2 linked regions of the Diceros bicornis minor genome follow. The protein of the gene in region 1 purifies or fractionates together with the protein of each later gene. This does not show direct contact. Links are inferred from orthologs where the notes say so. Each region holds a gene or a part of one and is shown on either strand. Other genes may lie near its edges.

Region 1 (17,044 bases):
CATGCTTAAACTAACAGAACTTATGTGAAAAAAATAAGATTAAGAGTAGACCATTAAAAATCTATGCTACTTTGTAACCAAGCACTAATAAAAGGAATCACTGGTACTTGGATGGTAACTTAGAACACTCAGAGAGGCAGCCTGAGGTGACTGGAGGCTGTCAGGATCAATACTGAAAAAAATATAAAAACAATATAGTAAAAATACCAACAACATTTTTTTTTTTTTTTAATTTTTGTGAGGAAGATCAGCCCTGAGCTAACACCCATGTCAATCCTCCTCTTTATGCTGAGGAAGATTGGCCCTGGGCTAACATCCGTGCCCATCTTCCTCTACGTTATATGGGACGCCGCCACAGCATGGCCTGACAAGTGGTGCGGCAGTGCATGCTCACTTAACCACTAAGCCATGGGGCCGGCCCCCTCAACAACATTTTAATTAAATCAGGGCTGGTGTGTGCTGAGACAATTCAGAATGAAGGTGAGCTCTGCACGAGTGGGGCTTTTATTAAGAAAGGCCTGGAAGGTACTGTGTCTTGCTATGGGAGTCTCTAGATCTTTCAGGGTGTCCACAAGAGCAATATATATCATAAGGATATTTAAGTCATTTTTCACTCTCATTCTCTCATGAGTGTGCAGCAGAGTTTTCCAGAGGCTACATGACATGTGAACATAGCAGATGCAGAAGCAGCCTGAGAATCCAGTGCTTTCTATTAGACCAGATATTAAAGAGATTTGCAAAATGTCACTCTTCCCATTAATTTTCTTTGTTTTGGAAAATATAGTTATTTTTCATAAACATATTTTATTTATATTAACTTGTTATCATTTTTTTATTTGTAAATAAATAAATATTTTAACAATTTACCACTTTTAATTTCTGTATAGTCCTCAATAATTTTTAAGAGTTTACAATGATCTTGAGACCAAAAGATCTAAGAACCTCTGCTATAGAGAAATTTTAGACTTCTTTCATTAGTGTGATTGATAGTAGTAGCATTGTCATTAATATTTGGAAATATTTTCTTTACATTTCTCAAAGATTTTAGTTCCTGGCTTGTGGTTTCTTTCATCAGTAGTGCTCTTTTCTTAATTCTTGTTAATTTCAATTCATGCCTAGACAAACCTTCCAATACCTACAGTTTTCAATTTCTTGAACTCACCTCCAGTGATCTTGTCCTCCAACCTACCTCAGCCACTCACTTCTATGGTCATACCCCAGATTTTGTCATTATTAGTAACTATAGATCCTCTGTGATCTCATTTTTCTGCATCCATTCTTTGATCACCACCTTCAATGTTTTTAGTTCATTCCTTCTAGAGATCCTTTGATGCTGCCATAGGTCCTCAAATCTGATGATACTACTATCTCTCACTCTTTGGTGTCCCATTTCCTCTCCTTACCCAGCTTAAATTCCATGGTCAATTGTTATAAACTCTCCCTTGCATAAACTTTCTACTCACATTCCTCCCTTTTTCTTCCTCATGCTCACTTGACAAAACCACACCCCTGGTTAAATGCAGCTCTCTTCCCCTAATCCACACATGTACTTGTGCTGGTGAACACAACCAAGCTGACTGGGCCACTTTAAATCCATGACCAGAAATCTCAGCGAGACCAATAGATTGCAATTTTACTATCTGTCCCTAGTCAATTCACCCCCACCCCTCCCAAATTATCATTTCATACCTTCCCCTCTCTCCTCCAACCCCCAAGTCCTCAACCCCAAACTTCTTCTCAGCGGAAGACCTTGATTCCTACGAGAAAATGGAAGTAATCACAAGGGAGCTTCCAAATACTCTTCTCAACACACCTGACATGTCCTGGCACCAACACTCACACACTCCACTCTTCTGTCTGTGGACTATTTCTACTTCCATCTCAGGCCAGTCCCTTCTCCATATGCATGACATTCATGCTCCTTTGCCTATCTTACTCCAGCACCTCTCCCTTTTATCTCTGATGTTTTACTTGCTACTGTATCATTCCAGTTATAAGACAAATAAATTCTGGAGATGTAATGTACAGCTGACTATAGTTAACAATACTGTATTGTATATTTGAAAGATGCTAAGACAGCAGATCTTACAAGTTCTCATCACAAGAAAAAAAACTGTAACTTTTGTGTACTGATGAATGTTAACTAGACTTATGTGGTAATCATTTTGTGATATATACATATACCAAATCATCAAGTTGTACACCTAAAACTAATACAATGTTATATGTCAAAAAAGAAGTGTCTGGAAGAAATATGCTTTGGCTGGGCTATAAAAGAAGGGGAAGTGGTCACTAATGGAGTGGCAGTGAGGACAAAGAAAATAAGGTGGACAGGAGCAGAGTCTACAGGGGCCAGCCGAATGAGACTGCTCAGAAAGAGATTAAAACAAATTCTTATGGGCTGCTGTCCTTCACCAGGCAGAATGTACCAACAAAGCAAGAAACAGAGAATGAACCTTTTCTTTCCCCAACGAATTCTGGCTACTTACTGAAAGCTATCTATAAAAAAATAAACATTTCTCCTGACTGCACTGTCCTAGTAGCTACTGTCTCCCTCTCCCTTTTCTTGATTTTGCAGGAAAATCTCTTCAAAAACTTGCTTTCTAATTCCCCTCCTCTCAAGCTTTCTTAAACCCACTCCATCAGGTACTTGCCACCATAACACCTTCAAAACTGCTGTAGTCAAGGTCACCAGTAACCTTTATACTGCTAAGTCCAGTGGTCAATGCTCAGTCTTCATCTTCCTTGACCTAGCAGCTGTATTGACACAGCTGATCACTTCCTTTTCCCTGATAAACTTTCTTCACACGGCTTCTAGGACAACACACTCTCTTACTTGTAGTTTATTGAAACACATTGGATTTACGAAAGTCTGTGAATTCCAAAATGATACCCAAAAAAGAAAAATCCAGGAAAAATTAATTTGTCACCATCTGAAGCATGTATTATTAATTCACTTTCTTACTTAAAATTTGATAATTAAAGGAGGAAAATTAAGCCTTTAACCTGCTTTCTAATAAACTAAATAGCCCTGTTCATAAGGGAAAACTTTTCGAAAGAATGTTAGTAATTAAATGTAAAAGCAATTATATAATCAGAAAATGATAATAAAATAACCTCTAATTAAATTAGCAAGTCAAAGATTATCAGTTGGTATAAGAACGGTTAGGTGAATAATTGACGAGGAACTTAACATGTTTGTGGTTCCAAAGAACATCATACAGATTACTTTCTAGTTGCAAGATGAAAATAATATAACAATACAAATGTTGGAATCAGACTGTCTCCATCCTAATCTACTATTAAGTTTTATCTTGTGTAATAGAATCTAATCGTGCCTTTCCAGGAAACTCATGGGAGGACATCATGAGGAAACAATGAGACAAATCCATAAAGTGTAATATTCTAAAAGACAACTGGCTTGTTGTCTTCAACAAATCAGTGTTGTGGGGGGCCAGCCAGGTGGTGCAGTGGTTAAGTACGCACGCTCGCTTCAGTAGCCCAGGATTGGCAGGTTTGGATCCCGGGCGCACACTGACGCACCACCTGTCAAGCCATGCTGTGGCAGTGTCCCATATAAAGTAGAGGAGGATGGGCATGGATGTTAGCCGAGGGCCAATCTTCCTCAGCAAAAAAGAGGCGGATTAGCATCGGATGTTAGCTCAGGACTTATCTTCCTTACAAAAAAAACAAAAACAAAAACAAACAAATCGGCGTTGTGAAAAAAGGAACTGTCCTAGATTAAAAGAGACATAAAGAACAGAAAAACCAAACACAACGTATGGTTCTGGATTGACTCTTGGTTTAAGCAAACCAGGTGTGAAGGAAATTTTGGGACAATTGGAAAAATTTGAATATGTACTGGATGTTAGTGATGTTAAGGAATTATTAATCTAACTAGATGTGGGAGGCTTATGTTGGCCAGGTAGGAAAATGTTCTTAATTTTTTTTTTTTTTTGTGAGGAGATCAGCCTTAATATCTGCCAATCCTCCTCTTTTTTTTTGCCAGGGAAGACTGGCCCTGGGCTAACATCCATGCCCATGTTCCTCCGCTTTATATGGGACGCCGCCACAGCATGGCTTGCCAAGCAGTACGTCGGTGCGCACCTGGGATCCGAACTGGCGAACCCCGGGCCGCCACAGCGGAGTGCGCGCACTTAACCGCTTGTGCCACCGGCCCAGCCCCTCTTAATTTTTAAAAGATGCAAAATATAGCATTCAGGGGCAAAATGTCATATTGTCATAATTTATTTTAAACTACTCTTTCATTAAAAATTACTTTTTGAAAATAAAATTTGCATTTGGAAGAAGATAAAATTGGAATCATACTGGCTATTATACACCAGAATAAACTCTAAATGGATCATAGATCCAAATGTAGGGTTGCCAATTAAAATGCAGAGTTGCCTACATTTGCCCATTGCAACATACTTATATAAAAAATTATTTGTTGTTCATATGAAATTCAAATTTAACTGGTTGTGCTGTGTTTTTATTTGCCAGTGCTGGCAACCCTATCTACATGGAAAAAATGAAACTACTGAAATAGTACTAAAATCATGAATGAATTTATTACCTGGGAATGGAGAAAGCCATTCCATCTTGGTCTCAAAATCCAGAGTGATAAAAGAGCTAAATTTTACTACATAACAAAAAAAATTTTTTTACATGACAAAAAGAAAGAGAAACCAACCACCTGTCCCTCACCCCCAAAGGCCATAAGCACAATTAAAAGATAAATGAGAAATAGGAATGAAATATTTGCAACCTATATAACACTCAAAGAGTTAATCTCTATAATATAGAGAGCACTCTTAAAAAACAAGACAGTGAAGACCAAAAATAAACAGAAAAATGGGCAAAAAGACATGAACAGACAGTTCAGAGTAAAAGAAAATGACCCTAATATGTATGAAAAGATCATAGTTTCACTTATAATAAAAGGAATGTGAATAAAACTATACTGAGATACCACGACTTACCTATCAGACTGGCAAAAATCCAAGTTTGACAACACACTGCTGAAGAAGCTGTGGGAAAAATAACTACACTGATTTTGGGAGTGCAAAATAGCACAATTCCCATGGAAGAGAGTTTGGTAAGATCTAATAAAATACATGTCTATTTACCCTTTGACTCAGCAATCCCACTTTTAGGAATGTACCCTGAAGATACATATCCATAAATGTAAAACAACATATGCACAAGATTATTTGCTGAAGCATTATTTGTATAGCAAAAGATTGGAAACAACACAGACATCCATTAGTAGGCTTGGGTAAGCTTATGGACATCCATACAGTGAAGTACTGGGACCAGCCCGGTGGCTTAGCGGTTAAGTGTGCACGCCCCGCTGCTGGCGGCCCGGGTTCGGATCCCGGGAGCGCACCGACGCATGGCTTCTCCGGCCATGCTGAGGCTGCGTCCCACATACAGCAACTAGAAGGATGTGCAGCTATGACATACAACTATCTACTGGGGCTTTGGGGGAAAAAATAAATAAATAAATAAAATTAACACACAGTGAAGTACGATGCAAATGTTAAAAAAAAAAGATGGAAGAAAATCTTTATTTTCATTATTTCATTCCCTACTTTACTGGTAGGGAGTGACATCCACAATAAACTAAGTAAAAAAGGTGTACAATAGTGTACCTTTTGTGAAAGAAATAAGGCGAAATATATGCATTGCTTATTTTCACAAAAAGAAACACTAGAAACATTAAACTGAAAACTAATAAAAATGGTTACCTATAGAGGATGGGAATGGGTTTGAGTGGGTGGAGGGGATAGAGACTGACGTGAAAACTTCTCTGAGAATACCTCTTTACATAGTTTTGATTCTTGAGCCAAATAACGGGGTTTTCAGATTTAAAAATAAAATTACATCTAAAAAAGCCAACATTAAAATTGAAAACAAATGGAAAGAGTTGAACTTAACTATATATCAAATTGCTCCGGTAAACTCCGAGAGAGAAGAATTATTTCAAGTGACTTTTGTACAAGGCATTCTGACTGAACATCCTTAATGTAACATAATCTAAGGACAAAAAGAACTTTAAAGAAATCTTAAACCTCACTCAGCAAATGTATTGTTATTGATTTTTTTGTGTGTGTGTGAGGAAGATCAGCCCTGAGCTAACATCTATTGCCAATCCTCCTCCTTCTGTTTTTTTTTTTTCCCCCAAAGCCCCGGTAGATAGTTGTGTGTCACAGCTGCACATCCTTCTAGTTGCTGCATGTGGGACGCGGCCTCAGCATGGCCAGAGAAGCAGTGTGTCGGTGCGCGCCCGGGATCCCAACCCGGGCCGCCAGTAGCGGAGCGCACGCACTTAACCGCTAAGCCACGGGGGCCGGCCCAGTGTTATTGATATATTGATATTTTAGTATTGGTATTTTAACTTAGAAACTTTTAAATATATTTTGTAGGAACCAAGATTTTCAGCATAAGAGAAAAGAGATACAAATGTAAAATCAATAAAGAAAAAAATGTTAAATTTGAATTGGAAATCAATATACGAACTCATAATTTAAAAAATACATTTCCTATCTCTGAGCACTGAAAAAGCCTAGAAGCAATGACATCCAGTGGCAAAGAGAACATCTACTGCCCACATCTTGAGTCTAATTACTATTCCGAAACTGAAGGAACCAGGATGCCTGAGACTGAGTCCAAGTCTGTGACAGGGAAAGTACATAAGTGGGCCTGGGACATCCTGTACCACTAGGCCAAGAAGTTGTCCAAGACTAATGGCATCATGTCAAAAAGACATAGGATCCACTCACCCTGTACGAAGGGACTCGTATTGGCCCCAAAAGAATAATGATTGCAATTGATTGAAACAACTTACGTCTTAAAAAACTCATAAATCCACAATGATACTCAAAAAGAGAAAGCCAGAAAAAAAAATTCATTTTTCACTACTTGAAGCTTAATATTAAAGCTTGAAGTTTAATATTAAATTGAACTCTTTACTTCAAAAATTGGTCATTAAAGGGAAAAAATTAAGCATTTACCCTGTTTTTTAAAGGTTAATGAGGAAGAAGACTTTTTCACAAAAGAGCTTTCTATTGATATAGAAGGAATAATGGAATTAGAACATTTTTATTTAATCACCAAATATTTCATTATTAATTCAGGAAAGATTAATCAATAGACGACCAAACCCTGGTGAAAATTTGCAGGGGAACAGGAAATGGACACCACGCCAAAGTCTTACTCTGCAATTACTTGTTAACTACAAAAAGTGAACTGTACCTAATGGAGAGATCTGATGGTCACCACCTTAAACAAGTGATCAAACTTAGCATCAATCAGTAATTTGATGTATCTCCTGATGTCATACAAAACGAAGTTCATAGCTATACCTATGACATATTCTTGCCAAAATGTTTAACCTGAATCTAATCACTCCAGAAGATGGAATATTCTTAGAGACAACTGGCCAGCTCTCTCAAAAAATTCATAAAAGATAAAAAGATGAGTGGACTATTTCTAGAATAAAAGAGACTGAAGAGATATAACAACGAAATGCAATGCTTGAAACTTGATTGGATCCTGATTTGTGAAAACTTCCTATAAAGACACTTTTGGGATACCTGGGAAAATTTGAATATGGACTGAATAGTATATATTAGGAAATACTTATTAATTTTTTTAGGTGCTATAATGGTACTGTAGATACGAAGAGTGTCCTCATTTCAGAAAAAACAAACTGAATTATTTTGGGATAAAGTATCATTATGTCTATAATTTACTTTCAAATTATTTTGCAAAAACACAAACTATATCTATAAATACATACATATACAGCAAACATGCCAAGATGTTAGTCAGTAGATCAAGATGGTGGGGATACAGTACAGGTATCTATTGCATTATTCTTTGAATTTTTATCTAAGTTTTTCATTAAAAATATTGCGGAAAGATGGCATTTGAGTCAAACTTTGAAGAATGGAATGTGAATACTATTCTTCTTTTTGTTTGTGTGAGGAAGCTTGGCCATGAGCTAACATCTGACGCCAATGCTCCTCTTTTTGCTGAGGAAGATGGGCCCTGGGCTAACATCCGTTCCCATCGTCCTCTCCTTTAGCCGCCAGAGTACGTCTTGACAAGCGGTGCGCCCGTGCGCACGGGGGAACGGAACCAGGGAACCCCGGGCCACCGCGCAGAGCGCGTGAACTTACCCACTGCGCCCCCGGGCGGAACCCTGAATACTATTCTTCAGGACTGTTGTTCTTCCATTAGTTCATCATAGACAAACTCAGAAGCAGATAAAAAGAGAAAAATTGTGACAATCTAGAGATAACTACTTTTCATGTTTTGAACTACTGTGTGTATACTACATATTTATACTACACATCCTATTTAATATACACTGTTTTCGTTTTCTGCTTTTTCACTTAACAATATGATGGATGTTTTTTCTGTCAGTAACTGTGTATCAGCATCAGCTGACTGGCTGCATGCCATTCCATTATAGAGATACATTTAACTAGTCCTGTATTGTTGGATGGTGTGATAAACATGTTAACATACCTCTTTTGCCTGTGTCTGATTACTCGGAAGGGTAAGAATTCAGGCTGTGGAAAGAGCGGAGGTGAAAAGATGTGCAGAGGCGGGGCGACTGAGCAGAGTTAAGGCATGTATGGGGAAAGCTGAGAAGCTGACTTGGTCTGGGGCGTAGGCCCCTGTGGGGAAGGAGGGTGGAAGGAGACATCGCATGCTGAGCCTCGAATGAAAGAATTTGAGACTTGCTCTCACGTAATCTCAAACTACGCCAGGTACTGTTTCGAGCACTTTCTCCTGTGTAACTTACCTAAATTGCAAGTACTACTGTTATTCCTATCGTAGGCCAGGAAACTGAGGCTTGGGGAATTTCAGTCGCCCGAAGTCACCCCGCTAGTGAGGAGGTCAGCCCTCTAGTGCGCCGCAGGCAGCACAGACAACGCAGCTCCGGAGCCTGAGCGCTATGATCCCCACCTTGCCGACGAGGAACCACGGTGCGACGCTGAGCCTAAAACGCGGCCTGCCTGTCTTCACAGCCTCAGACACAATAGCAGGTGGTAACGGTGTATGTTAATACGGTTTGATCTGTCCCTCTCATCCCCCAAAAGGGTAAAAAGCATTAGCCGAGACCATAGAAAACCTCGATGGATTCATCTCCAAAATATTGGAGTCATTTCACACGGCATTCCCCCCAAGTGGCCATCTGCCTGAACTGAACTGACTGGCAGTCAGGCTACAGCGGCGTAGATTCCCCACAGCTCGACGATTCCATTCCAAAGGCGCGCGAGCCTCCAGGCGGAACGGCTTCCCGCCTCCCCGCCGGTGGCAGCCAGCGCCGCAGCAGCCTTTTCCCCCCAGGGCCGTGACGTCAGCACAGACCTTGGGCCCGCCCCTGGGACCTCTCTGCTTCTGCGCGCCCGAGTGACCGGTCAGCTGTGCTCTCAGCTCCGCCCGCTGCCCCGGAAGTGAATGCAGAAGCCACACCTCCCTTCTCGGCCGGCAGGGGCGCAGCCATTTTAATTCATATCTGAGTGGGCGGTGGCGTTTCGTGTTGGCGGTCTGGCTCCGCTGGGCAGGGGGTAACTTGACTGGTTTGGGGGTGGGTTTTAGTTTAATTTTTCTTTTCTAGCTTCGCATCGCGGGCCAGTTCGCACCTTTTAATCAGCTGAGGCCATGTCAGCAGACGGAGCCACGGAACAGGTGAGGAAGGAGAGTGGTGGGGCCTCGTGGCGACCTCTTCTCTCCACGTCTCAGTTGGTCCGAGTACTCCAGCCATGTTCGCCCGAGGAAGGAGTCGCGGGTCTAATGAACCCGCAGGACCGCGTGCAGAGGGGTGGTGGGAATGGGAGCAAGATCTGACCGAGATTTAAAATTATTTTTTGGCTTTTCTGTCTTAGGCGCTCATATGAACAAATACTTGACTTAGACAATAGCCGGGAAGCCGCTTCCTGCCGTTTAAATTCGTGGCACTACTCCGATGGGATGCCTGCCTTTGATACCGTTTTGACGTTAGGAATTGATTATTTTAACGTGTACCCGCTGTTTTCGAAAAACTCAACAATATTCCCTCCGTCCCCTCTGCTGTATATACTGTACCCAGAAATAGGTTACTAGTTGAAGAAATTAAGATGAGACTAATTGGAGAAATAGATTCTTGCAAGAGCGAATGCAGAAGGAAGTTTGGGAGTAGAGCATGGTTATGCTGAGATTTGGGAATTTTGTGGCGTTCTCCCGCTTTCTTCTTTCTCTATCCACATTTCATTTTCGTTTTTCCAGCGATACAAATATTGCAGAATTTGATACATCGAAAGTGAGAATAAGTTGTAAAGAAAAGCAGCTGTTTTAGTATTGCATATAAGTGACGCTTAAATATTTTGAAATTCAGATTTTTAGATAAACAAGTTCTTTTGTTCTTTATTCAGAATTTTGTAGGATAGTATTTATCTCTTAGTTTGAAAGAGGAAGCTGATGTTTTAAAAGATGTCATTCAATTTGTTTATCGATGTAAGTCCTGGTATGTTTAGGTAAATAATTTTTAAAATGGAGGCTGGCTAGCCTGCGGAGTCTCAATTTCTTGAAATTTCCCTTTGCCATAGCAACGAAATACACTTAGGTTTTCGTTTTTCAAGTCCCCAGCTTATAACGTGGAGGCTGTTCTTGGAGGTTGACAGAGACGAGGCAAAATTCGAGCATTCCCGTCGAGTAGTCTGGGTGACTGTAAATTGCATTATGTCGAGAAAGTTTGGCTAAACTGAATTTTGTGTTTGCTTGTCGATTGATTTCAGTTCTGAAATCTTCGCAGTGTTTACATTTCACATGCTGTTAGAATAGCCAAAAATGCCAAATCTTAAAATTATATCAAATCTGTTTATATATAACTACCCTTTCTGTTTTTCTGGGCTCATATTTTGTCATCTGAAAGTTGAGGAGGAGTAATGTACTGAGGTTTCATTGAAAGTTTTTGGAATCCATTGTTAATTCTTAAATTTATCTAAAATTGTAATGACACTGAAATGTTGCTATGACCTGGAATAGTTCACAATTGTGGTGTTTTAAATGGGAGAGCTGGTGGTGAAAACTTAAGAGAAAAAAATTTCATCCAAAAGTTTTATTTTGCGAAGTTTAGAACATAGAAAAAAGTTGAGAAAGAGTGCAGTGAACACCTACAGTACAGTTCTTCACTTAGAATCAACAACTATTAAACGTTTTGCTATATTTGCTTTCTCTCTCTGTACATATTTATTTGAAAGTCAGTGGACACGTTTCAGCATTCTCTTATATAAGGACATTAATGCCGTTCTATGTAACCGTAATACCATTTTCCCACCTAAAAAAATTAATAGTAATACCGTATCATTTATAAAATCAAGTCCATATTCAAATTTCCCCAATTGTCCCAAGTGATTCATACAGTTTTTGTTTTTTTTTTAAATCAGAATTTAATCTGGGTTCACATTACATCATTTGGTTATGACTCTTGAATATTTCCTCTGTTTTTGTCTCCCCTAGGATAATGTCTGGTTGAAGAATCCGGGACAGTTTTCTTGTAGGACTTTTCATTTTCTGGGTTTATTTGATTTTTGTGTGTGTGGTGTCATTTAACTTGTCCCTTCATCTTCTGTATTTCCTGAAAACTTTATGTTTAGGTGTAAACTCAGAACTTTGATAATATTTGGGTTAAATATTTTTGGATAGAATACTTTATAACGTTACATCCAAAGGCACTTCATGCTAGGTTGTTCCACTATTTAGTGATGATTAAGTTTGATCACTTGGTTAGGGTAATGACTGTGGATCTCTTCATTGTAAAGGGTTATTTCCCCTTTTGCAGTTAGTAATCTGTGGGTTGATACTATGTTCCTCAATAACCTTTTACCTAGTTATTTATCATCAATTGATAATCATTGAATAAATCAGTTGTTACATTGGAGGTGGGAAATGGTAGTTTTTTAAAAATTCTGGGGGCCGGCCCGGTGGCTTAGTGGTTAGGTGCGCGCCCTCCGCTGCTGGCGGCCCGGGTTTGGGGCCCGGGTTTGGGGCCCGGGTTTGGATCCCGGGCGCACACCGACGCACTGCTTCACCGGCCATGCTGAGGCCGCTTCCCACGTACAGTAGCTGGAAGGATGTGCACCTATGACATAACAACTATCCACTGGGGCTTTGGGGAGAAAAAGGGGGAAAAAAATTCTGTTATTCTGTCTCTGTTTACTGGCTCATATTTCTCTGTAAAGAAGGAATTTCCTGTCCCCCCCGTCCCTCCTTTTTAAAGATTATCACTGTGGTCTCAAGAGTTTCTTGTATTTAATAGTATGTTAAAATCACCTATAGCCATTTTTCTTTTGGATGCTCAACTTATCCTAACCTTTATGATGGCTCCTGGATCTTTTTTCCATCGATCTAAAAAGATATTTTTGAACATCTGATTACCGACAGAGAGTCATCTTCATATAATCTTTTCTTCAACTTTTTGATATGTTTCAAACATGCAAAAAAGTAGAGCTTCAACTCATGGTTAATCTTGTTTTTTCCATGCTTTCGCTTGCTCTCCCCACCCCTATTACTTAGAAGCAAATCCCCAAAAATAGGTGTTCTTTTGTGTACTTATTAATGAGGAAAGAAAGATGAAACACTCACAGTGTTGAAACTTGAAACCTGGTTTATTTTGTTGGGTTACCATGAGTACTTACTAGCTGTTAAGGGTTAAGAGCAGCGCCAAACAGTTTTAAAGCCTGAGTGGATGTGTGTGTGGGTTAGGAAGAGGGAGGGAAAGGGCCAAGTATGTATGTTAGATGATGCGTTCTTTGGGCCCCATTATTTTATCTGTTTTTAACAAAATCTTTCTGTAATAGCCTTTCTTACTTTTCCCTCTCCCATTTTATGTGATATTTAGTATACCAGTTTTGGGCAGGCAAATTTCATTTGATCTTTATTGTTAATATTTCCTTTTTTTTTTTTTTCTTTGCTTGAGGAAGATTCGCCCTGAGCTAAAGTATGTACCAGTCTTCCTCTATTTTGTATGTGGGTCGCTGCCACAGCATGGCTGACGAGTGGTGTAAGTCTGTGCCTGGGATCTGAACCCTAGAACCTGGGCCGCTGAAGCAGAGCACACCATTAGGCCATGGGGCCTGCCCCTATTGTTAATATTTCTTGAGAAAAGTGGACTGTATGGAATGTGCTCTTTTGGCAATAATTGTTCCTAAAAGAGATTGATCTTTGTTTACAAAAGTATTGTTTTTCCTTAGAGGTACACAGAAAGGTACTGTTAGGAGAGATTGCCTTCCTTTAGCATCAGGAATACAGGAGTTTCAGGGAGTACAGGAGTTTACATCCTGGATAGACCTTCCAGAATGACAAAATCTGTATTCATGTTTGTACCTATTAAGTGGACAGTTGCCAAAAACAATTCATAGTTTTAAGCTTTTCTGCCATTGTCTCTAAATCTTTGTTTTTCTTTAGACAAGATCTAGCTGTGAATTTGAGTCTTTTTGTTTTGTTTTGCCGGACAATTGATAATGGTCTGAGAATTGATCTGAAAAGGGATTTGAGTTGGGCAAATATTTAGAGTTTTTAGATTAATGGATAGTTTTTTTTTTTTAAATAATTTTATTTATTTATTTATTTTCCCCCCAAAGCCCCAGTAGATAGTTGTACGCCATAGTTGCACATCCTTGTAGTTGCTGTATGTGGGCCGCGGCCTCAGCATGGCGGGAGAAGCGGTGCATCGGTGCGCGCCCGGGATCCGAACCCCGGGCCGCCAGTAGCGGAGTGCGCGCACTCAACCGCTAAGCCACGGGGCCGGCTCTTGCCCTTCTGGTTTTACTCAATATTTACTGATTAAAAACTATCCATTAGGGCCGGCCCTGTGGCTTAGCGGTTGAGTGCGCGCACTCCGCTACTGGCGGCCCGGGGTTCGGATCCCGGGCGCGCACCGATGCACCGCTTCTCCCGCCATGCTGAGGCCGCGGCCCACATACAGCAACTACAAGGATGTGCAACTATGGCGTACAACTATCTACTGGGGCTTTGGGGGGAAAATAAATAAATAAATAAAATTATTTAAAAAAAAAACCAGAAGGGCAAAACTATGTCCTAATGGATGTTTTCCAACGTTTCACTTAATTTATCTAGTGAATTAGTATCTTGGCTACTCTTGGTCTAAAGAAGTCCTATTTTTCAAATTCAAAAATCTTAATCGATTTTTATTTGTAGTTTGTAGCTATTTATTTCCTAGGGGATGAATAAGCAAATTTAATAAGCAAATATGATAAGTATAATTACTTGAACCAATAACCTTTGGCCTATTTTTACTTTTTTAAGTTTTTGAATTGTTTGCATGTTCAGTAGATTTTTAGTCTTTGGAAAGGTTGAAGAGGTTATTGCTTTATATTTCAGGATACGTATTTAAATTCATTCACAATAAAACATCTAGTAGAGTTCTGTTGCACTGGTAAAGGAACCCAGGACTAAGCTGGCATCCAGTCCTAATGTGACACCTGTCACATAAAATGCTTTATTCTCTAGGCGTGTGAATTGGCTCAGTTACTACTTGCAGATATTTCTGCAGAGTGCTGCCCTGCTTTTTAATTTTGAAAAAGGTTGACTACCAAGAGAAACTTAAGACTTCAAGTGTATGGTATAGTATATGCAATTTTCTTAATGTTTTAGCAAAAAAATAGAAGACTTGGAATGACTTAGGTCTGATGCCACTTTATTTTTAAGGAAACATAACATTTAAAAAAAATGTGTTTATGGAACAGATAGATTACGTAGTGTTTCTCAAGATGGTGTTCATGTCTATTGCATCATAGTCACATAGGTGTTTTATAAAAGTATAGGTGCCTGCACCTTAATTTCAGACAGACTGTATCCGATTCTGAGAGTGGGGCTGAGAATCTTCACTGGAAACAAGTACCACAGGTGATTTTTATATAAACGAAAACTTGCAAACCACTTAGTTAGGGGTTGAAGATACTTGGATCTTAAAAGTTGTTTTTGAATACCTCCTTGATAAAATAAGTGGAGGAAAAAAAATGCAGATTATTTGAGGATGGTTAGGCTTATTTTACTGATTTTCCTCCCCCTACTGTAATTAGATAGTCATTACCCTTAATAGTGGAAAACACTCATTACAAAACCAGATTTGAGACGCATCTCTGTTTGTTCTGGTGGTCATGGTCAAGAGCTTATTTAGGTTTAAGTCCTTTAACTTGCCACCTCCCTCCCCACTTTGGACATTTATCACTTGGATTAAATTTTCACTGATCTTTATTTTTTTTAAGATTTTATTTATTTATTTATTTATTTTTTCCCCCCCCAAAGCCTCAGTATATAGTTGTATGTCATAGTTGCACATCCTTCTAGTTGCTGTATGTGGGACGCGGCCTCAGCATGGCCAGAGAAGCGGTGCCTCGGTGAGCGCCCGGGATCCCAACCCGGGCCGCCAGCAGCAGAGCGTGCGCACTTAACCGCTAGGCCACGGGGCCGGCCCTCACTGATCTTTATTTTAACTTAATTTCGGTATGACCTCTAGCATAACACCCTCCCCATTTACTACAAAAATAGACAGCTATTTGAAGAAAGAGAACTACCTTTTTTTTCCTGTCCAAGTTTTACTTCCCTGGTGAGAATGGGAAGAGGAAATTAGATTATTTTATTTTATTCTTTCAATCATTAATAGAATAGTGTCTGTCACTTCTCCACCCTCCTCCCCCAGTTAACAAGTCCCTATTGTAAATTAAGATGCCATATAGAAAGAAAGTTGATTTGCAGTTTTAGTAAAGCTTAACTAATAGAGAGTTTTGCAGAGGCTACATGACATGTCCACAATTGTATGAAAAGGCTATTAAAAATACTTCTCCCTTTTCCAGCTATATAACTGTACTTATGTGGTTATATACTTCATCCAAAACAATATATTGCAGTAGATGGAAAGCAGAAGCAGATAATATCTTCTATTCAGCCAGACACTAAAGAGATCACAAAAATGTAAAACAGTGCCATTGTTTTCACTATTTATTTGTTTTGGAAAATATTTTTAAATAAAATTAAGGAGTTTATTATTTTAAAATGAATTAGCAAATACTTTTAAATTTTTTGTGTTAATTTCTAATGTGATAATGTTGATAGATATAACCCACATTTTTAGAAAATCTCTTTGGTTCCTTAGTTTTTAAGAGTGCAGAGCGATTCTTTACAAAAAGTTTGAGAACCGTTGAACTAGTGCATGCTGCCTGTGAGGCCATTAGTTCTATTTCTGAATTAGCTTCACATTACAAACAAAAGGTTAAACATGGGGGCCAGGGCTGTCCCGGTGGTGCAAGTGGTTAAGTGTGCGCACTCTGCTGTGGCGGCCCGGGATTCGCCAGTTCGGATCCCGGGCACACACCGATGCACTGCTTGGCAAGCCATGCTGTGGCGGCGTCCCATATAAAATGGAGGAAGATGGGCGTGGATGTTAGCCCAGCGCCAGTCTTCCTCAGCAAAAAAAAAAGGGGGGGGGATGGGCAGATGTTAGCACAGGGCTGATCTCACAAAAAAAAACCAACATGGGGGCCAGCCCCATGGCTTAGTGGTTAAGTGTGCGTGCTCCGCTACTGGCGGCCCGGGGTTCGGATCCCGGGCGTGCACCTGCGCACCGCTTCTCCGGCCATGCAAAGGCCGCGTCCCACATGCAGCAACTAGAAGGATGTGCAACTATGACATACAACTGTCTACTGGGGCTTTGGGGAAAAAAAAAAGGAGGAGGATTGGCAATAGAGGTTAGCTCAGAGCTGGTCTTCCTCAGCAAAAAGAGGAGGATTAGCACTGATGTTAGCTCAGGGCTGATCTTCCTCACCAAAAAAAAAAAAAAAAAGGTTAAACATGAAAAGTGAAAAGACAACCCCCTGAATGGGAGAAAATTTTTGTAAATCATACATTTGATATGGGACTTGTATCTATAGTATATAAAGGACTATTGCAATTCAGTAATGAAAAAATAACCCAACTAAAAATGGGCAAGGAATCTGTATAGATATTTCTCCAAAGATGGATAAAT
Region 2 (16,400 bases), on another chromosome or scaffold:
GTGCGAGGGGCGGTCACAGTTATACCGGCTTTGAGTCAAATGCAATCAGTCATAAGTAATAATCCCTGTCCTCAGTGTATAGGTATACAGACTCTAGCATGGTAAAGAGAAATAACAGTTCTTTTCTCGGTAATAAAGGAAAAAAAAATTCCTTTTCATCTTCCACCTCAGCAAGAGGGTCAATGGGTAAACAGCAGTTATATTTTCCTTTTCTATATACCTCTCAGGAAATCAAACAAATCAAAAATGCATTTGGAAACTGTCTGCTCGCATCCTGTATTCTCTATCTTGTCTGACAGAACGGAAACTCCTTGCAGGCACAGCTGTTCTTCTGCCACAATCTGAACACCATAAATCCTCAGTAAAAGTTGAAGAGAAAAGCTAAGAAAAGTTTCTAGTGAAAAGTTCTACTAAAGCATGAGTCACATTTCAGATCACATTTAAACCCCCGTATTGTCAAACTCAGTGCCTACCTTCCGCATAGCACATGCTCAGTAAGTACTTACGAAATAGGTGCTGAATCAGTTTTAGTTGAACAATGACTAACAGTATTCCTAAAGAGTTATCAGGCCATTGTTGATGTGTGAGGTAAGTTTCCTTTCTGCCTTCCCCCACCTCCTCCACCCCCTCTGCAGACACCTGCTCTTGGGAGGATTTCTTGGAACCCAGCCTCCCTGTAGAGGTCCTGCAGGTGAGAATGAACATCTGTAACAAATGCTCAACCCTGGGACCTTGGCAGCAAACTCCAGACCACTAAACTGGCAAGGAAACTTCTGTACTTTCTTTATTCTCTCTGCAGGCATCAGCTTCTCTTTTCTGGACCCCTCACGGGCGTGGGCCAACATACACACCATTCCATTTTCAGGGCTAACAAAAGACTGGGCTCCAGAGGAATAGGTTATTTGCACTTTCCTGTTTCCCTGCAGTCACTTGTTTTGTTCCCCAGAGTCAGGAGGGGATTGGCAAACAACTGGAGGTGAGAGGAAATTCTCGCATTGTGCTGCTCTGTGAGAAAGTATATGCAGCTATTTCAAGGCAAATGTTAGATCACAGTGATGAAGATAATAATAAATAAGGGAATTGTTACTATTTATTATTGTGTCATTAAACTGTCAAGAATAGATTTATCAATATTTATATATGAAGAATGGAAGAGTTTGGTATTTTAAAATGTATACTCTATTCACCTTCAAGAAAATCATACATTATATGTACTGTGAGCTTTCTGAAGATCATGAATGAGGGGTTAAATATTTCTTTACTGTTTCATACCAGACCGTGTTTCTATCCGCAAATCAGTATATTTAAACTTCTTTGAAAATAACCCATCTTTGGAACTAATATTTTATTTTTGCAGAGACGGAGGGAATGACCTAGAGGAACGTTGTAGAAAAACTCTCTCTGGTGGCAGGCACATTGAGAATGGCTGCCTAGCTCACAACAACTCTTTTAACTGCTCCCCTCCCTAACAAGGGTAGGCCACCAAGAGCTACTTTGGGAATTCATGGTCAACCACGATAGATATTCAGCCGTTACCAGGACAGCTGCACCAGTGGTTAAAATAATTAAAAATCTGTACCCAGTGATAAATAGCCACTGCCCTGAGCCCCTAAGTGCCCCTGTCCTGGACCTCTTCATTGCCTAGCAGGTAAAGGAGGTTAACTCTAGGCAATGCAATGGTCTTTAGGGTCTCTCTCACTCTAGCTGATTTCTGGGCCCCTGCATAAAGTTGTTCAGTAGTCTATCATCCTGGCCCCAACCCCTTTCCCATATTGGATTGAATCATGGATGGACACCAGAGTAGAGCTGGACCTTTAGATCCTCTTTCCTAGGAAGCTGGAATCAGTACCCAGAGAAATAAATCATTCTCTCTGGGCAAATCTGTAGCAAATAAATCAAAAGTTCATAGGAGAGCCCCTTAAATGGCAGTAGACCAGGGAGAGACATCAGAGTAATCTGGTTCTTCAAGCAGAGGAGAGAGATACAGAACAGGAATAGAGCATCCTGAAGGAGTTACAATTGCCCATTCCTTCTTTTCTGGATGACTGTATTACTGCATGTTATGGACCGAATTGCGGCCTCCACCACCCCCACCCACCCCTACCCCCACCAATTCATATGTTGAAGCCCTAACCTCTAATGTGACTTATTTGGAAATAGGGCCTTTAAAAGAGATAATTAAGGTTAAATGAGGTCATAAGGGAGGGGCCTTAATAAGGGTGGGGCCCTAATCCAATATGACTGGTGTCTTTATAAGAAGTAGAAGAGATGCCAGGGATTCACACACAGAAAGGAAAGGCCACATGAGGACACAGCAAGAAGATGGCCATCTGCAAGCCCAAGAGAGAGGCCTTTGGAGAAAGCAAACATGCCAGCACCTTGATCTTAGGCTTCCAGCCTCCAGAACTGTGAGAACATAAATTTCAGTTGTTTAAGCCATCCAATCTGTCGTATTTTGTTGTGGAAGCCTGAGCAGACTAATAATACACTGCCTGTGGGTTCTGAGAGATAACAGAGTATCATTAAATACTACCACCACCACCCCCTTTCACTTAACATGGTTGGAGTTGGTTTCTGTACTCGGTCCAAGAAGTGCTAGCTACTGTGTTGCTATAAACATTGGATTTTACATTTTTATCTAATTTCTGATCCTGAGGAATCTAATTGTGTGATGGCAAATTTGAACTGGCACTCTGAAGTAATGTTTTTCAAGGATCATTCAAATGTGATAATGAATCCAAAATACATTCTGTCACACTGGTTGTTGTTGTTGTTGTTTTTAACAATCTGAGCCCTCAAGCAAGTATTTCAGGAAGGCCTCTTTCCTGTAACTTGGTATAAATACAGGATCGTTCTAGAGGTCAATCAAGCCTCAGAAGGGAGATACCAGTCTAACTTCTGAAGTGAACGGCAGTTCAGACATTCCTCTGAGGTTGGAGGTTAGATTGTTCTGGTCACAGAAAGAAAGATTCACAAGTTGTTCATCTTGAACAGGATGTCTTTACTCAGGACCCGGTTTCAGGGCTTGTACTTTCCACAGTTTATGAGGACACTTCCTTCCTCTGTGTTCTTTCAGGTGACAGCCTGAGGCAAGAATAGGGAGCTCTGCTTCTTGTCCAATTAGTTATGCTTTTCCATGTTTGAATAAATGGCTTATGTCTGCCAGTGCACGCTCCAAAGTAGTAGTCCTAATGACATCCTGAACATGGCTATATGCTCAAATAGGTATCCTGTGTGCCAGACCAATGCAGGGTTGTGTAAGCCTCAATCCTCCACAGTCAAAGGTCACACAGGCCCTTTTCATAAAAATGAATGAGTGGAATTTCAGCCAACTAAATATTTGAAGAGTGCATTTCATGGTTTAGTATAAGAACCTAGTGAGCATCAAAAATGATCAGTAAAATTCTCATTGAAGTGTTCTAGAGGATTAAGCCTAAAAATTATCCATGTTCAACTACAAATCTACTACAAATTAAAATGACAATGTTATCCAAGGTTGTCTCGATACAATTTTTAAAATAATATAATCTGACGACAGATCATTAGTTCACCCAGCTCAACCCCTTCAAAGATAAAAATGGAGATACAGACTCAAAAATAAATAGCATTAGACTAAAATTTGGGTCTCTTTCCACTTAAGATGCTGCTTCATCTGCTACTATTAATTCTATATAACAAGTGTAGACTAATAATTACCATACAAAATAACAATAAAAACAAATACGTTATGTATTCCATGCAACAATCCAATACAAGTGATATTGTTCCCACTTAATTGATGCAGAAATGGAAGCACAGAGAGGTTAAGTAATTTGTCTAAGGCTACACAGTTACTTGTTGAACTAGGCAGCCAACCCAAGTCTCTCTGACTTCAAAGTCTATATTCTTAACTTCTTCACTCTACTACCCCTAAGAAGTGCTGAGAGCATAGTTTGGATGAGGAAGTCTGAAGATCTAGATCCCATTACAAGCTAGGCCAATAACTAGGCATCTGACCCTGATTGAGTCCCTTGTCTTCCCTAGACTTTATTTTCTTCATATATTAAAAAAACGAGGTTGTACAACACAATCGCTTCCAAGGAGAACATTTGGTTCTGTCCAACCTCCAGCCCTGGAATGGCATATTCCCAGCAGTCCCAAATTCATGTAATCTTCCTCTTGCCAATAAAAGTGATTCATCTCATGTATAAGTAATGAAATTTACTATTTCTTCCTCTGTACATTGTTTCATAATAAATATATTTAAAAATTGGGAGAAAATGTCACAGACCAACCTAATTTGGGGTTTGAGAAATCTGGGCTCTTTCATTTTATGGAAAACGTATTTGTATCCATTTAACTAGATATTTTTAAAAATCCTTAAGTGATGTTTAACTACAGCCATGCAAATTGCAAAAGGAAACATTTTCTCCCTCGCTTTAGTCTTTAGACCTTATAGTCCATCTGTTGCCACAGCACTGATTGTGATGTCAAAATTGCAATTAGTTACACTCAGAGACAATCAGTAAAAAGGCCAAGGGAGATTGTGTTCAGGCCTCAATACCACACTAATTATGAAGTAGGAGGTTTAAAATCAAGAGAACTAATTTCAGGCTGTAGCTCTGCCACTGACTAGCTATGTCTCCTTGATAAACTCATTTAATGGAATAATAATTCAAGAGCTTGAGTTCTTGAGTCAAATGATGTATGTTCAAAACCTGGCTCTGCCAGTTATGATGGGCACTCTGTTAACCTCTCTGTGCCTCTGTTTCTTTAGTTATAAATTCAGACACTATGACTGCCTATCTCAGAAGGGTTGTTGAAAGGATTAAATAAAATATTGTATTTTATAAAGCACTTATCAGAGGAACTCCTTCCTATTAAGTGATCAGAGTTAGCTTTTATGAATAGTATCTGTATTTTGAGTGAGTCCATTGTTAAAGTTCTAGGTAACAGTTCTCTGTTAAAACATCTTTAAAATCAGAATACAACTGTATATACCTCACATGATTGTTGTCAAGATCAGATGTGGGAGCCCAAAGAAAAGTGTTCTGTAAGCTGAAAGCATTAAATTATCATTTTGTTAACATGTAATCTGTTATTACAAGATGATTTTGTATTAATTTTAAAAATATTTACTGAGTGCTTGGAATATAAAAGGCACTGGGCTAAGCAATATGAACAAAATAAATCAGATATGGGTCTGTGCTTAAGTGGTAACACAAGAATACTAGCACCTCTATTACAATATAGAAAATAATGGGTGCCAAATCAATACTCTACTTTAAAAAGAAAGTCTTTAGGGTGAGAACTGAAGGACAAGAAGGATTTAGACATGGAGAGATGAGGAGAGAAAGACGGAAAAGAAGACATCCTCAAAGAAGGAATAGTAGATCAAAAGCTAGGAGCAAAAGCTAGAAGGTGGAAAAGCACAGATCATGTGTGGTGAAAAATGAGGGGTACAATTTAGCCAGAGGAGAATATATGAAGGCGGCAAGTGAGTAATGAGAATGAAGCCATGTTATAGAAGATGTTAAATACAGGAAGAGCCACTGCTACATTAGATTAAAAAATTATAATGATGTAAAAAGGATAGTCCAAGTGCAAAAGATATCATGGAGAAGGACTGGATAAAATTGGTATTCTTAAACCTCTGCCATTTTTATTCTATGTTCATGATTCAGAAAGATGGAAGAAAGCCTACTGACTCTCACATCAAGTTTAGATTCATGAATCTGATCTTCAAAACCTTTTGTAATCTGTCCCAAAAGACAATCTTTTATCACACTACTCACGAACTCTCTATTGGTTTCCTCTGGGGGCATCAAAAACACTAGGTTTCAATTTCATGTCTTGGCTATTCCTAGCTCCTGGCTTAGTCTCTTCATCTTTTGTTTATACATACCAGATTATAACCCATCCCTTAAATCCCAGCTCCATTAGGAAGCCTTCCTTGATGATCTAGACCTTATCACTCTCTTCAATCTCTACATACTTCATTACATATCTACTTTATCAAACAGTAACATGAAAGAACTATCACTGACCTAGGAATAAAATGACAAGGGTCTTGACAGCAGGCCCCTATTCTGATTTTGGGCATGCTTTTAATGCTACAGGTTTCCTCTTGCGTAAAATGAAGAATTTGTGACTTAGCTAACTCGAAGGTCACCTCCCATCATTCATTCAACATACAATGAGCACCCACCTGTGCTAAGCTCTATCCTAGGTGCTGAGGATACAGTGGAGAAGAAGACAATGTATCTATGTATCTATCTATCTACCTACCTACCTATCTATAATTGTCTCCCTTTAGTTCAGTGGTTCTCAAACTTTAGCCTGCATTAGAATCACCTGGGGAGCTTGTTGAACCACAGATTTCTGGGGACCGGCCCGGTGGACTAGTGGTTAAGTTCCCATACTTTGCTTTGGCAGCCCAAGGTTCACAGGTTCAGATCCCAAGTGTGGACCTACACACCACTTATCAAACTATGCTTGGCAGGAGTCCCACATATAAAGTAGAAGAAGATGGGCACAGATATTAGCCGGCACCAATCTTCTTCAGCAAAAAGAGGAGGATTGGCAACAGATGTTAGCTCAGGGCTAAGCTTCCTCACACACACACACACACACACACACACAAAAAAAAAAACCCACAGATTTCTGTACACACACATACACGCACACCAAGAGTTTCTGATGCAGTAGGTTTGGAGTGGTGCCGGAACTTTTGCATCTCTAAGATGTTTCTAGGTGATGTTCATGTTACTGAACACTTACAGAATCTATGTTCTAGTGGAATGTTTATCTTTTTCACTGCAGTATTGCCAGTGCTTACAATAAATATTTATGGAAGAGAATAAATATGTCACTTTGTTAATTGACAAAGGGAAATCTAGCTCTTTCCTTGAATGATGTCATAGTTTAGAAGGAAAAATCATAATTCTACTAAAAAGTAGAAGAGTTACTATCATCAGAAAGGTATGGATAAGGAATGGTTTATATCCAAAGGAAAATGAACTCACTTTCAACCTAGAGGAAGAAGGAGTAAGATTAGAGAGAACTTCATCGGGGAGTGTATTTGATCTATTCTTTGAAGGACCCATACACTTATTTCAAAAATGCCTGTCATAACTAAAAATATTTTTAGTACCTCGTTTTGGAATTTGTCTAATTAATCTATGGTGAATCTTTTTTAATACCTGCAAGTCTACAGAATCTTTGTATTCTGATATAAGTTTTGATGTTTGGAAATAGCTAAATATCATATTTTTGCCAAGTCTGGTCAGAAAGTTAGGTGATTTAGTTGCATAACTCTTGGTTGAAAACAAGGTATACCTTTGAGTTAAGGCAGCAGTTTTCTAGTATGACTTTCAAATGGAGCCCTAAAACAATTTCAGGGTAGGAGTTCACTTGAACAATGGAAGCCTTATGGATTATGTTTATACTTTCTGAAGGTGGTTAGTTTGAAGAACAGCTCCCACTTGGCCATATGCTCTGATGTGTTTGTTTAAAAATCATTCTTAGTACAGTTGATATTTTGATTTATTGAAAGAATCAATGTTTGAACATGCAAGATGCCATGTACATTTTTCTTCAAAGTATATGCCATGCTATAAAAATCTAAAGTTTAAACATCCTGGGAACAAAGAAAGCAGTATAAAATGAAAGTTCTTCCAAGGTAGATCTATGAAAAGTATGTATTGGTACCAGGAAACGTGCACAGGTTCCTAACAGCTCTTGGTAATTCTGGGCCACTCAGTTACTAATAAATATTAGCTTATGCATCCTGGGCATTGAGCTATGTGCTGGGTCACAATGGTCCTCTCTGAAGGGCCATATTAAACCATTCTTCTGGTTTTGAATAGGGGGACTAAACAGAACATGGAAGGCCTGTGACAAAAATCACACTCTTACAGTGATGCCTTCTCCCTTCTTGTTCATCCCCAGAGTTCCTCAGCTACTCTGTTCACGCATCCTTTGTGCCCAGAGTATCTTCAGTGTGGGATCAGCATGTACTAGCTATACTGGATCAGCATTAAAATATTAATAGATTTTTTAAAGACCACTCATATCTCATACCTTTTAACAGTGTACTAAATTTACGTTGGCCTGACATAAACCGAAAACAAAACAAAACAAAACTACTTCAAGTCCTTTCGTTTAGATCAATGATTCTTAAAGTGGGGGTCCCCAAACCAGCAGCATCAGCATCACCTGAGAACTCGTTAGAAATGCAAATTCTCCAGTCCCACCCTAGAAACACTGAATCAGAACTGAGGCGGGGCAGTGGTGAGGCCCAGCAATCTGACTTAACAAACCAGGCTCCAGGTGGTTCTGATACATGCTGAAGTGTGAGGACCACTTGTTTAGATACTATCAGCACCAGCAAAGAAACTCTGTCAAATAAGCTGTGCAACCTATCATGAACTTTACAACTTATTCTAATAGCCTCTTATTATCCTTAAGATTACTACACTTAATACACACACAATTACACACATGACCGATGTCTAAGTTGTCCTTGACAGATTGTGTGTAGAAAAGTCATGGCTTCTCTCTGCAAAGGGATAGTACGGAAAGGAGACAAACGGACTTGTTTTTAGACAAATGGACTTGTTTTTAGTTTTCCAAAATAATACCATCCTCAACTTCTCTCCACCCCTGCCCCACCTCCAATAAAAGAATCAGGAGGGAAAAACCATTACTAGCAAGTGGCTATTCTGTTTCTTTCACGTACCAGGAAGATTTTATTAGGTCATATAAATACACTTTATTACTTGCAGATATAAATTATCATGCACCTTGAGTAAATAGCTATGTCCAAGCCTGTTTTAAAGAATTATTAAAACACTTGAAGGTAAATGGATGTTTTGTCTAAATTGTAGCTAAACCCATCATTTCAGATCTATTCATTGGACTATGACACCCAAGAACATAACACAATTTTTTGATGAAACAAAGTTTCATAAGCTCCTCAAAGGGCATATGTAGAATTAAGAGGTAAGACAGACTCTAGAACAGTGCAGTTCATAAACATATAATGCAATACATATATATAATTTTAATTTTTCTAAGTAACTACATTAAAAAAAGTAAAGTGAAATGAGTGATATTAATGTTAAAATATATTTTGTTTAATCCAATATATTAAAAATATCATTTCAACATGTAAACAATACAAAATTAGACATATTTTAACTTTTTTTATACCTAAGTCTTCAAAATCTTGCATGTATTTTACACGTATAGCACATCCCAATCAGAATGCTAAATTTTAACTGTAAATACTTGATTTTTATTTTGATTTAATAAAATTTATCATTGCAAAAGTAGATTCCATACCCAAACATCCTAAAAAGTTTTCCATTAGCCTAACTGAATCAGTTTTTATATTTAAATTAATAAAAATTAAATAAAATTAAAAGTTCAATTTCTTAATCACACTAGCCACATTTCAAGTACCCAATAGCTACAAGTGGCTGGCGGCTGCCACATGCAGCAGCGCAGCTCTGGAGCTACAACAGACCAACCGGCATAAGAATTCTGGCTTTGCCGTTTACTGGCTGCTTAGCAAATTACCTAGGTCTCCCCAAGTTTCAGTTCTATCGTCTGTTAAACGGAGGAAAAAACCTAGGCTCCACATATGTTTCAACTTCTGCCGGCAAAACTAACAGACTAGAAACAACTACAGTTTGTTTTTCCCTTCATAGTAGAGGTGTGAGATCATTGCCTCAGTTTATAATAATCAGAACCAATCTAAATGCCTCCAGTATAAGAATAAATTCATTTAATTCACGCTCTGCAGTCTTTAAATGCTATTTATTATTAACCACTTAATATAATTAAGGGAAAAAAGGGTAATACTATGAATAGCTCGACTGCTGCCTGGATGCACAGAGGAAAACCCGGCCGGTCCCGTCGCCTATCAAACAGCGGTTATCCGAAGCAACCAGATGGGGGGGGGGGGGATGGATGGAGCAGGCTCATTTGCGCGGCGTGTATTTCGGGGCAGGTATTTTCCAAAAATGTTTTTCTAAAACGGAGCGATTACTTTTGTATTTTCAGGAGCAAATCCCAAATCTGTTTTGAAACGACTACACTTTCCCCTCTTGGTCTAGAATGTGATTTTAAATATAGCTTAAATATAAGGAGACACTGCTATACGAAAACCCTTCCAGCAGAACGAAGAACACACCGCCTTAGCTTTCGGTTGGCGGTTTCCCGCCGGCAAACCGAAACAAAGCCGCCCTTGACGTCAAAGGAGGCCGCCTCTGCTGGTTACCATGGTGAAGTCTATGCGGCCATCTTTACTGGGGTCAAGGCGCACCGGGCTTTTCCTGGCGGGGGTGGTGGCGCGCCATGGAAAGTCTGCGGATTAAGAGACGAGAAAGGAATCCTGCGTCTGGGTAAGAAGGAGCTGACAGAACCACAAACGATCAAGGGCAAAAAGCATTAGCTAATTAAGTTAGTGGAACAAAGAGGCGCAGATTTCGCGGAACGACTCAAGCCGACTACTGAGGTTTCTGCCCGGAGTTTAAAAGCTGCTTCCGTTGCTCAGCGGAAGTGTGGGTCGCAAGAGGACGACTCTGGGAAGAATCCGTTCTCCGCCGTGTCTGCACAACCGGAATCATGTCGAGCTTGGCGGTGAGAGACCCAGCAATGGATCGATCACTGCGTTCCGTGTTCGTGGGGAACATTCCGTATGAGGCAACTGAGGAGCAGTTAAAGGACATTTTCTCAGAGGTTGGTTCTGTTGTCAGTTTCCGGCTGGTGTACGATAGAGAGACCGGAAAACCCAAGGGTTATGGCTTCTGCGAGTATCAAGACCAGGAAACCGCGCTTAGTGCCATGCGGAACCTGAACGGGCGGGAGTTCAGCGGGAGAGCGCTTCGGGTGGACAATGCTGCCAGTGAGAAGAACAAGGAGGAGTTAAAGAGCCTAGGGCCTGCAGCGCCCATCATTGACTCACCCTATGGGGATCCCATCGATCCAGAAGATGCCCCAGAATCAATTACCAGAGCAGTTGCTAGTCTCCCCCCGGAGCAGATGTTTGAGCTGATGAAGCAGATGAAGCTCTGTGTCCAAAACAGCCACCAGGAAGCTCGAAACATGTTACTTCAAAACCCACAGCTGGCTTATGCACTGTTGCAGGCACAAGTAGTGATGAGAATCATGGATCCAGAGATTGCTCTGAAAATTCTGCATCGCAAGATACATGTCACACCACTCATCCCAGGCAAATCTCAGTCTGTCTCCGGCCCTGGCCCGGGTCCTGGGCTATGCCCAGGCCCTAATGTTCTGCTCAACCAGCAGAATCCTCCAGCCCCTCAGCCTCAGCATCTGGCTAGAAGACCTGTGAAAGACATCCCTCCTCTGATGCAGACCCCGATCCAGGGTGGAATTCCAGCCCCGGGGCCAATACCAGCCGGGGTTCCTGGACCTGGTCCCGGTTCCTTAACTCCTGGTGGAGCAATGCAGCCCCAAGTTGGAATGCCAGGGGTTGGTCCGGTGCCTTTAGAGCGAGGACAGGTGCAGATGTCGGATCCTAGAGCGCCTATGCCTCGTGGACCCATGACTGCTGGTGGCCTGCCTCCTCGAGGACTGTTAGGAGATGCTCCCAATGACCCACGTGGAGGGACTTTGCTTTCAGTCACTGGAGAAGTAGAGCCCAGAGGCTATCTTGGTCCACCTCATCAGGGTCCCCCTATGCACCATGCCTCTGGTCATGACAACCGTGGCCCTTCTTCACATGAGATGAGGGGAGGGCCATTAGCAGATCCCAGACTGCTAATTGGAGAGCCCAGAGGACCTATGATAGATCAAAGGGGCCTACCTATGGATGGCAGAGGTAGTAGAGATTCTCGAGGGATGGAGACTCGAGCCATGGAAACTGAGGTCTTGGAGACACGAGTAATGGAGAGAAGAGGAATGGAGACCTGTGCAATGGAAACCAGAGGAATGGAAGCAAGAGGCATGGATGCAAGAGGAATGGAGATAAGGGGCCCTGGTCCTAGTTCGAGAGGCCCTATGACTGGTGGAATCCAGGGTCCTGGACCCATTAATATGGGGGCAGGTGGTCCTCAGGGACCCAGACAGGTCCCAAGCATTTCAGGGGTGGGAAATCCTGGAGCTGGCATGCAGGGGGCAGGCATACAAGGAGCAGGCATGCAGGGAGCGGGCATACAAGGGACAGGCATGCAGGGAGCGGGCATACAAGGAACAGGCATGCAGGGAGCAGGCATACAAGGAGTAGGCATGCAGGGGGCGGGCGTACAAGGAACAGGCATGCAGGGGGCAGGCAAGCAAGGTGGAGGCCAGCCTAGCAGTTTTAGTCCTGGGCAGAGCCAAGTAACTCCCCAGGATCAGGAAAAGGCAGCTTTGATCATGCAGGTTCTTCAACTGACTGCAGATCAGATTGCCATGCTGCCTCCTGAGCAAAGGCAGAGCATCCTGATTTTAAAGGAACAGATCCAGAAATCTACGGGAGCTTCTTGAAAAGTTTTAGAAAATATTTAGCAGTAGTCCCAGAAAGTTTTTTTGTAATGGAGAATGGGTGCAGAAAGCTGACTTCTGCATCCCCACACTTGAATGATTAGAGTTTCTCTCCTCCCAGAACCTAATCTTATTTCTTCTTGTTGTCTTTTTCTTTTTTTCTGTTTTCCTTTTTATTTTTAATTGGGGGGGTAGGGGGAGGAAGGGGTGGGTCTGTTCAATTCATTGTAAATGTACAAAAATAACTCTGAACATGATTATATTATACCAAATAGGATTACAAAGAATATTCAGCAATATTAAAAATGTCTACAATATGTTAACTACATTTTTAAAAATACTGAGTAAAATGATGTGAAAACTGCACATAAAGACTAAGAGATGACCTATTAAAATGGTAATGTACTAATAAGATAGTTTAAGGTTTTTGTTTGTATAAGAAAATAAAGAAATTGACCACAAAATTTTAAGATATATTTTTTGGTAAGCCATTTAAAATACAAAATCCTGTTTTGGGGGTGATAGAACGTATTAGTTGAAGCATCGTTTTAGTGTTTTGGAATTCTTTTGAAACATTAGAGCTAACAGGATAAGTCTAGCTTGTGGTATTGGAATTTTTTTTTTCTAAAGCTGTGCTACCTGAAAAATCAAGGAATGCATCTGGTGTGATGTGATGTTTTATTTATCTCACCCTTCAGGGACCAGCAATATTCAGGCCTTGCCCTGAGCAGGATGATTTTGCTGGGACAGTTCTAGGATCAACCGGGTTACTTAAGTCTTCTCTGATGAGAGTCAATATCTCTCGCACTATCTTCCCATTTCTCAGTAGTCTTTAAGCCCTAAATGTGAATCTGAGTAATTCTCTCACACCCTTCCCAAACATCAGCATCTAGGGACCAGTTGATCTGGATGAGTTATACACAGCATTGGGCTTTTCATAAATAGTGGAAGGCTTCATGCATTAGAGCTCTCAGTTTGCTGGTTACTAGCTTCCATATACAGATGGTATCCATCTGGTCAACCAGAATCAGGAGTTAAAAATCTTAATCTGAGCAACATTTAACATGCCTTTTAGTTTTCTTATTTCAAAATCTACCTATCTATCACCATCTTATCAGAATAATTGAGGCCCAGGTAGGTAGAGATATTCTTGTAGCCTTAATTCCCTGCTCAGTTGGTTATTACTCACTTTACTTTTTACAAGTAATAAAGTTATTGAGTCCTAATATATATACCCATGAGACATTTAAAAATCAGTAGGAAGGTCGGGCTATCACATTTTCTTTAGAGCTACTACCTAATTTATTTTTAAGCCTTGAGGATATAGACACAAAAATTTGTGTCATAGACCAACTAGTAATTAACAGAACCATAAACACACAAATAACCAGATGATCTTACTCTGGAGAAGAAAAACCAATATCTAGTTAAGAGGAAAAAATATCATTTAATGAGAGAGCTGAGACTTGGAAATTGAATTATTTTCCCCTTGCAAAGTTTTTACATCTTAAATGGGTAATTCATTTTTTACAAAGTTTTTATCCCTATGCTGTTGTTTCCTGCTACCTGTTTTACTCCTCTTTTTACTGTTGTTGATACTGTTAACTTTCTCCTGTTTTCTGTATGCTTCCCCTGTATTGGAGGGGATGACTCTCCTTTATGTGTGATAGTTCCAGGCAATAGTAATTCACCGAGTTGGCTTGATTCCTTTGAAATTATAGTTGTTTTATCCCAAAGCTTTCACTGAAGGGCTTTAACTGAAAACTATTAAATGTTATGCTCTTGGTTGTAGTAAGATCCGTGCATTGTTTAATGCAGACTAAATAAAATGTACAATTAAGGCTGACTTTAATATCTGATGTTTATTTTTAATGAATGCATTATTCAAAAGTTATCTATTCTTGAGAGCCCCATGGGGCCTGAATACTTTTTTCTTTTAAATGAAAAAAGCAAAACTAAAGAAATTGCAGGTATGGATGGAAATCCCTTTCTTAGATTCATTATATGTATAATTCCACAACTGAAATAACTATAAAGATGTGTTATTCTATGGTTGGTATCAGTAGCAACATCTTGGTGGATACTTAGGCTTCTTTTCTTTATGTTCCCCACAGAGAACTCTTCTCTGTATCCCAGGAACACCTACTTACAGGTATCTTTATTACCAACAGAGTTTGTTATATTGCAATGCACTATTTTACGTGCTACCCCCCACTCCCACTTTTAATAGATCAAGAACTCTGAACATGGACTGTCTTACTCACTTCTGTATTCCCTATAGCAGAAATCACAGGACAAAACATTCTATCAGAGTCTTAAGGAGAAAAAAAAATTCCACTAAAAGCTCATAAGTTTCTCCCCAAAGGATTTAGATTCCACACAGAACAAATGAGTTATACCAAATATTTGCATTAGAAAATAAATTAGAAATAAATAATAGAAGCAATCTCCTTTACTCTGGTAAACTTAATAAAATAGGTTCTCTCTCCTCACTTCCAATTTACTGTCTGACTGTCCCAGCTGTTGATGTAGAATATAGAGCCTTATTTCATTTGATAGTGAAGAATACAAGCAACACATGTCTGCTACCATCAGAATCTTATGTGTTTTACTGTAATTGTTGGTTATAGCCCCTGGCATCCTGCATTTTCCCAAATACCGGTAGACTACAAATGAAATCACAGATTCATTCATAATAACAGTAGCTGAAGATACTGGGGTGAAATACTGATTCGCAAATGCCTCTTGAGTGCTTATTCCTCTTGTTGGGAATATGAAATGTTGAGCTTTAATTAGTGCCTGCCCATTAGCCCTTCCCCTCTTATAGTACTGATTAATATCAAAATGTGTTTTAATGTCTGCTGATGTCCCAGGACTTCTGATTTTGGGGTATTTGATAAGACATAAGCCAGTGTGAATCGCAGGTGAAGGGAAGCTAATGCAAGTGAGATCACGTATGACTTCTCAGCCACACTTTTCAGAATTCTAATGGCAGAAAAGCATTAAAAAGAGAACCTTAATGTAATCACAGCTTGCAAAGCTTCTTGCTTTTCCATGCTGTGATGGGACATTAACTAAGCACACAGAACCTGATCTCCTATGGTGTGTCAGGCCTATCTCTTAGGTCTGATGAGGGCTAAGGATAATTATGTGCAACAACCTACTGTGGCAGAGAAACTGAATTATCAGTTATATTTCACAGTCTTCTCACAAAAGAATATGTCAACCTCTCACTGCTGTATATCTTCAGCTAATCTCTAGACACACTTCTGGTTGGAGTTTGCTTTTCTCATCAGTCCCTTATCAAGAATGCTCTATAGTGAAGACCTAATTGATTTTAAGGAAATTAATATATTTAAAATAATATAATTAATGTTAATAGTATGACTATTATGATATCGGTATATAAAATGCTAATATATTTCATATATATGTATATTTCAGATCTTAACCAGCTCTTTTAATATTTTCATTTGCTTTCATGCACCCTGAAACAAAAGTTTACTCCCTTGGTTGAAAATTCAGCTTCACAAATATTCATATTACAAATTACCTTTCTCATGAGATGTTAACTAGCATGTTTTTTCTTGATATTTTTCTACCACAGTATAAAGCTTGTGTCAGTAAAGGGAAGGTATTGTATTAAAAGTGACATTGGGGTAGTATTGTCAAAAATAACAAACCTGGGGCTTATTAAATACTGTACATAAAAATACCAAAGTCTTTACCTAGAAAAACAAACTAGATGTCCTAGTTAATGACAACTCTTTATAACCAGGAGTTGATTTATGTCCCAAAGATAGGTCACTAATTATCAAGGAGTTAGAATAAAATATACAACAATTCTCAACCATAATCGATTTTGTATGATTCAGTATGTATAAAATCTGCAGACATTTGAAATCAATCTCATTTGTGTCACAAGG

Evidence for each region.
Region 2: the proteins of CSTF3 (region 1) and CSTF2T purify together in Homo sapiens (co-immunoprecipitation; 4 studies listed by BioGRID and IntAct, counting the BioPlex papers as one, with this or other methods). This does not show direct contact. The link is inferred for Diceros bicornis minor from reciprocal best matches to the Homo sapiens genes CSTF3 and CSTF2T.

Annotation. Positions count from the first base shown.
Region 1 is NC_080770.1:35,099,304-35,116,347, forward strand, and holds the start of CSTF3 (cleavage stimulation factor subunit 3), read left to right. Parts: upstream 1-9,567; 5' UTR 9,568-9,681; coding exon 9,682-9,708; intron 9,709-17,044. UniProt on the Homo sapiens protein: One of the multiple factors required for polyadenylation and 3'-end cleavage of mammalian pre-mRNAs.
Region 2 is NC_080745.1:52,116,044-52,132,443, forward strand, and holds CSTF2T (cleavage stimulation factor subunit 2 tau variant), read left to right. Parts: upstream 1-10,355; 5' UTR 10,356-10,611; coding exon 10,612-12,477; 3' UTR 12,478-14,320; downstream 14,321-16,400. UniProt on the Homo sapiens protein: May play a significant role in AAUAAA-independent mRNA polyadenylation in germ cells. Directly involved in the binding to pre-mRNAs.